Oryctolagus cuniculus: one gene and its partner. The protein of the gene in region 1 binds, or shares a complex with, the protein of each later gene. Links are inferred from orthologs where the notes say so. Each region holds a gene or a part of one and is shown on either strand. Other genes may lie near its edges.

Region 1 (2,554 bases):
TCCACTGCCTTCCCAGGCCACAGCGGAGAGCTGGACTGGAAGAGGAGCAACTGGAACTAGAACCCGGCGCCCATATGGGATTCCGGCGCCAAAGGCAGAGGATTAGCCAAGTGAGCCATGGAGCCAGCCCAAAATATAAAGTTTTTAAAATATGTATTTTTTATTATTCTATCTGCCTAAAAATTCAAATCCCATATAAAATCCAAGACCTATCCCAGACACCCCAATTTAGGCCCAAATTATACAAAGGCATTCAATTCTAGGGGCTGGTGGCATGGCATAAAGGGTAAAGCCACAGCTTGCAGTGCCAGCATCCCATATGGGCACCTGTTCGAGACCTGGCTACTCCAATTCTGATCTAGCTCCCTGCTATGGCCTGGGAAAGCAGTGGAAGAAAGATGGCCCAAGTGCTTGGGCCGCTGCACCTATGTGGGAGACCCAGAAGAAGCTCCTGGCTCCTGGCTTTGGATTGGCCCAGCTCCAGCTGTTGAGGCCATTTGGGAAGTGAAACAGCAGATGGAAGATCTCTCTCTGCCTCTACATCTCTGTAATTCTGCCTTTCAAATAAATAAATATTAAAAAAAAATTCTACACATTTTGATATAGACAACTCCCTTCATATTTTACGCACTGCTGTGAATAACGTTACCATCTCTTCTTTGAATAGACTTCAAACTTAACTGTAGAAAATAACAGATGTAGAAGAACAGTAACACAAATAATAGAATGTCAAGCCATGGCTTAGAGTCTGAGGATACTTCTAAATCAGTCACATTTAATCTATGTATTGCACATGACCCAAGAGTCTTAGCTTATCTTAGTTTCCTTAAGAACCAAAATTCACAAAGTATCCCTTTTCAAGTGGCTCAAAATATTTTCAATCTGACAGCTTATATGGATGAACCACAAAATGTTCAACTTTCCATACCTGCTCAACAGCTGAGGGAGACTAGAAATGATGGGTCCATATCCTGGTGCATTGTCATACAATTCAAACAATGGTGCAGCTACCAGCTTGTAATTTTTAGGGACTGCAAACAAGGCTAAAACAAACAAAACAGTGTTCATTTTCTACAATTTCACATACAACCACCACCTCCGTCTCATTTTAAGCTAATCATTAGTTTGATCTAAAAAAAAGTTGTAAAGAAATATACTTCTCATTAATACATTTTGGTTGTCTGTAAAGCTAGTGTTCTTAGTGACATATGAAACTGACTAGTTAGCTAACTGATCCATGTTATTACCACTAGCACCTTCTAAGTGTTGGCCCTGGAAGAAAGGAGAGAAGAGAACAGCCCTGGGTTTATATTTTGGATTCCATAATAAAACTATAGGAGGGGGCTGGCGTTCTGGCATGGTGGGTAAAGCCTGCAGTGCCGGCATTCCATATGGGTGCCGGTTCGAATCCTGGCTGTTCTACTTTCGATATAGATCTCTGCTATGGCCTGAGAGAGCAGCAGAGGAAGGTTCAGTCCTTGGGCCCCTGCACCCATGTGAGTGATCCAGAAGAAGCTCCTGGCTTCAGATTGTCGCAGCTCTGGCCATTGCGGCCAACCGGGGAGTGAACCGGCAGATGGAAGACTTTTTTTTCTCTCTCTTTCTCTCTGCCTCTCCTTCTCTGTGTGACTCTTTCAAATAAATAAATCTTTAAAAAAAATTACAAGAAACAGGATAAGTACCTGTGAAAACATGCAACAGTCCTAAACATGGCATGAAAAAAAAATCAGTTTCTTAAATTTTTCACTAATTTATTTCACATGTGAAGTGGTATTTTAGGCCATGATTAAATTTTAATTTCCCTCCATACCAGGACTGGCACAGCTAAGAGAAAGCAAGCAATTCTGTATAAACATAGAATGTCCTTTTAGTTTTTACAATAAATCCAAAAATTCAAAGCTTGTGGTTTAAAACACAGAAGTAACCTTGAAATTAGTCTACAAGTAATTTCAAACACAACCTACCTTTCTCTTGAAGTTGAACCAGAAACAACTTCTTATGTTCCTTAGGCTTTGTAATATGTGCAGGAATATATGGATACTAAAATAACAAATGGGAATAATCAGTTTTCAAGACTCACCATTCCTTAAACCCCCATGCCTTTCGTTATCAACTTTTCCCATTTCAGACAGTAAGCTCAACCATCAACCCTTCTGAGACCAAGTTCCTCATATCCCAAATACAATTTTATTTTAACATATATCCCACAGCTTGCTGTTTACTTCCCAAAACTGCTAGAAGTATACAACTTTCTAGTCTTCCCATTACCATGACCTACTACCTAACAGATGCACTAAACATAAATGTTTTCAAGCCATGTGAAATAATAAGTAGTGAACCAGTTAATTATTCAAGGCAAAATACATAATTATGGCAGGGGACAGGATTTGGGGGTGGCAGCAGGCATTAGGCCTAGCAGTAAGACACCTACATCCCATATTGTATCAGAGTGCTTAAGTTCATTCCACACCCACTGGCTCCTTAACTCAGCACCCTGCAGATGCAGGAAGGCAGCCGTGATGGCTCACGTGATTGAGCTCCTGACACCTACACG
Region 2 (4,062 bases), on another chromosome or scaffold:
TTGGCCTCTCAGATCATTTTTTTTTTTAAAGTTCTTTTTAAATTAAAGAGAACAAATTGCTAAGATCAATGTCAACCCTAACAGAGCAGTGAATACTGGACAGTATTCACCTATGAGTAATATCGTTTAAAAACTTAAAATCTTACTTCCTCAGACCAAATGTGGCTAGTGATCAAGGACCCTGTTCTGCCTATTTCCCAAAGTCAATCAGTACCACTGTTATCAGTCCATAGATAAGGAATTACACACAGAGAGAAAAGTTTCATTAAAGACAGAAAAGAACTAGAGGGCTTTATTTTCCTGTTATCTTGTAAAGAAAAACAAAAGAACCCACAGGGCCAGCGCTGTGGTGCAGCAGGTTCACAGCCTGTCCTAAAGCACCGGCATCCCACATGGGCACCGGTTCAAGACCTGGCTGCTCCACTTCCAATCCAGCTCTCTGTTACGGCCTGGGAAAGCAGAAGATGGCCCAAGTCCTTGGGCCCCTGCAACCGCATGGGAGAACTGGAAGAAGCTCCTGGCTTCAGATCAAATAGGCGCAACTCCAGCCATTGCAGCCAACTGGGGAGTGAACCATCAGATCATCAGATGGAAGCCCTCTCTCTCTCTCTGTGTAACTCTTTCAAATAAATCTCTAAAAAAAAAAAAAGAAAAAGAAAAAAAAAAAGGAAAAAAACAAAACCCATACAAAGAATTGGTAAAAGTCTGAGTTAAAGGACATCGAAAACTCAGGAAAGCAATGGTCTTGTAACTAAATGAACATTCTAAACTCTTCTCTTTGATCCATAATTATTTGACTTGTCCAAACTTAGAAAAACATCATGTATTTAAGTAGTCATATGTAGATGATGCCAGTTTAACAAGGACGTAGGAAAACAGCTATTAAAAATATACAACATTCTGAGCCGGCGCCGTGGCTCAATAGGCTAATCCTCCACCTAGCGGCGCCGGCACACCGGGTTCTAGTCCTGGTTGGGGCGCCGGATTCTGTCCCGGTTGCCCCTCTTCCAGGCCAGCTCTCTGCTATGGCCAGGGAGTGCAGTGGAGGATGGCCCAGGTGCTTGGGCCCTGCACCCCATGGGAGACCAGGAAAAGCACCTGGCTCCTGGCTCCTGCCATCGGATCAGCGCGGTGCGCCGGCTGCAGCGGCGGCCATTGGAGGGTGATCCAACGGCAAAGGAAGACCTTTCTCTCTCTGTCTCTCTCTCTCACTGTCCACTCTGCCTGTCAAAAAAAAAAAAAAAAAAAAAAAGAAAAATATACAACATTCTCTGGTGAAATGAAAACATAAAGAGACAATCACTTCCAACTTAGGATATGTGAATGGGTCTACATCTGCTTTTTAGCTACTTTGCCCAATGTTCTTTACCCTTTCCTCCCGAGAACAATACACAAAATTTATTACATTAAAATGTCGATGTACTTCTCAAGACCGGAGTCAAGCTACTTATAAAAGACTCAACTCAAAAGCAATTGCAATGGAGCAAAACTGAACGTTAAAGTATCTCAAGTGCAGTGCCTTCGTACCTTCATGCTGGAGAGGACACTTCTCCAGCTAGTCTGCCAGACCAAACAGCTATCAACATTGTTCTCACCAACCCGCAGCAAACATAATTCCGATTTTTAAGTGTGCTAAGTCTTTGAGGAGACTGCCACCCAACTTTTGCTTCCTTGGGGAGCAAGTTCCACAGGTTGATTCACCATTCTATTACAGTTGATTTTTATATGCTCTTAAATCAAACCCTTCAAAATTAAGCCTGAAGGTTCAAATTAACATTAAGCAGAATACTCAGTAACCTTTAAAGTCTCCGCTAGGGGGAAAATTTCGGACTCCAGAGTTGTGTTCAAGACTCGGACTGGCACAGCTTGGCACTGGCACATCGTGAAACCAGTGCGAGTTACTGGAGATGATTCCTCGGCCGATCGAGGAAAAGCCCAAAGCTCCCAAGGACCACCGCCACCCTCTCACCTGGTTGAACTCCTCATCAGCGTATATATCAATCAAGTCCACTCCTTCTGACATGGCTCCGAAGGAAGCTCTCGAGCCCGGAGAATGGACAAAGTAAGAAAGACGCCACTGTGGTAGTCAGAAGAGGGCAACAATTAGAAGGCACGACGGGCCCGGCCCGAGCGCAGGGCGATGGTTGCCCACATCCCGTCTCCAGAGACGCAGCATCCCGGCCGCCCGAGCCCGGCCCCACCCGCCCCGCCCCGCCCCCGGCCTCGCGCCGCCCCCCCGCTCTCCCAGGCCGCCCGGGCTCGCGGGGCGCGCTGCCCATCACCCTCGGGCCCGGCGCGGGGGGCGCCGCGTCGGCGCCGCAGCTGCCGGTGGCGCGACAGGCTAGTCCAGGCCTCGGCTCCCAAGGGCCTTCGGGCAGGGCTGCGAAGAACACGGCGGCGATGCCCGCAGGCCCAGCCTGCCCGCACCTGCCCAGGCCCCGAGGCGACCCCGGCCTCAGCGCCTTTGGGTCCCAGAGCTCCATCCGCCTCCGCCTCTCATCCCGGCCCAATCCTCGCCCCCGGCTAGGCCTGTCCCACTCCCTCCCCACAGACCCGGCCCGGCGCGCTTGGCCCCTCCCTCAAGGACCCGCACCTCCCTCCGCTCGCTGACTCCGGCCGCCCTAAGCTCAACCGACCCCCTCCCCGCCTCAGCGTCGGTCCCGGCCCTTCTTCCGGCCCAGCCGGCCCCCGGCCGCGCGCCCCCGTTACCGGGAATATGGCGGCAGCGGCGGCAGGTCCGGACTAGGCCCGAAGCGCGCGAACCGCTCTCCGCCCCAGGTCCCGCCCCCCCGCCGGCGGCGTCACACGCAGCGCCACTTCCGCCAGACGCAAGGACGCATCTTCCGGCTCAAGTATTCTGCGGCGGCTGAGCTTCGCTAGTCCAGACGTCAGGAGTTCCCGGAAGTAGTCCAGAGGGGACTTCCGGTGCGGGTTGGGAAAAATGGCGGTGGTCCCTGCGTTCCCGGCTTTGGCGCGGGTGAGGAACGCGGAGGTTCCAGGGGCTGGGGCCGGGGCCGGGGGCCAGCAGTATCAGGGACTAAGTTTCGTTTTCTGGGGTCATGGAGACAAGCGGGAGCGTTCAGCTGTCCTGTAGCCCAGGGCAAAGGGAGGCCAAGGAGAGGCCGATCCTGCTGCTGAAGAAATTCAGATCGCTTCCCTGCTTTGGTGAGCCTGCTGTGTGCTCACCTGGTAGTATCTGGCTGAAAAGTCAGTCCGCGAGGGCACCCGTTTCTGTCCTCCTCTGTCCTCTGAGCGCCCTCTCTGCCTGTTTCTTAAGTCCTTTTAAATGCCTACCCTGATTTCACAGTCTCCTCTTTATATTGCTTTTTGATGTAGGCATTTACCACCATAAACTTCACTCTTAGAACTGCTTTTGTTACATCTCATAATTTCTTGTATGTTGGATTTTAGTGTTTGTTTTAAGACGTCTTCTGAGTTCCCTTTTGATTCCATCTTTGGCCCGTTGATTTTTCAAGGAATGTGTTAATACTACGTATTTGTGAATTTTCATTTTTCTTTCTGCTTTTGATTTCGAGTTTTATTCCATTGAGGTTAGAAAAGATCATCTGGTGTGCTTCATTAAGCCTTCTTAAATTTGCTGAGACTTGTTTTGTGATGAAATATGGGATCTATCCTGGAGAATGAACGTATTCTTGAGAGGAATGTGTGTTTTGCTTGTGTTGGGTAGGATGAAGGGTATATATCTGTTAGGTCTTTTGCTCTGTAGTATTGTTAAGTCTTCTATTTCCTTATTGACCTGCTGTTTGGATGTTCTGGCCATTTTTAAAATTACTATATTGCTCTCTGTTTCTTCCTTCAGTTCTGTTTGCTTGTGTATTTGGATGCTCTGATGTGGTTGGGTGCATCTGGTTATAGTTAGACCTTTCTGGACAATTGATTTAGAACATTATATTTGTTTAATGTCTTTTGTGTCATGTGACAATTTTGACTTAAATCTGTTTCGTCTGATGTAAGTATGGTCATCCCTGCTGTGTGGAATTTCATTTCTATTCTTTCAGCCTATGTGTGTCCTTAAATCTCTCTTTTTTTAAAAGATTTATT

Evidence for each region.
Region 2: the proteins of NUDT21 (region 1) and CPSF7 are in contact, whole or in part, in a crystal structure (PDB 3N9U), measured with the Homo sapiens proteins. The link is inferred for Oryctolagus cuniculus from reciprocal best matches to the Homo sapiens genes NUDT21 and CPSF7. Residues at the interface, in NP_008937.1 of Homo sapiens: Arg68, Asn152, Glu154, Pro156, Tyr158, Tyr160, Pro162, Ala163, His164, Ile165, Thr166, Lys167; in NP_001129512.1 of Homo sapiens: Trp91, Trp92, Thr93, Thr94, Asp95, Gln96, Glu112, Lys114, Phe115, Glu117, Asn118, Arg119, Ala120, Asn121, Gly122, Gln123, Ser124.

Annotation. Positions count from the first base shown.
Region 1 is NC_091449.1:40,190,300-40,192,853, forward strand, and holds part of NUDT21 (cleavage and polyadenylation specificity factor subunit 5), read right to left. Parts: intron 2,041-2,554; coding exon 1,965-2,040; intron 1,044-1,964; coding exon 929-1,043; intron 1-928. UniProt on the Homo sapiens protein: Component of the cleavage factor Im (CFIm) complex that functions as an activator of the pre-mRNA 3'-end cleavage and polyadenylation processing required for the maturation of pre-mRNA into functional mRNAs.
Region 2 is NC_091432.1:10,750,332-10,754,393, reverse strand, and holds the start of CPSF7 (cleavage and polyadenylation specificity factor subunit 7), read right to left. Parts: upstream 2,846-4,062; 5' UTR 2,710-2,845; exon of another isoform or gene 2,594-2,709; intron 2,574-2,593; exon of another isoform or gene 2,428-2,573; intron 2,078-2,427; 5' UTR 2,024-2,077; coding exon 1,970-2,023; intron 1-1,969. Other genes in the region: SDHAF2 (succinate dehydrogenase assembly factor 2, mitochondrial), read left to right, coding at 2,942-2,977.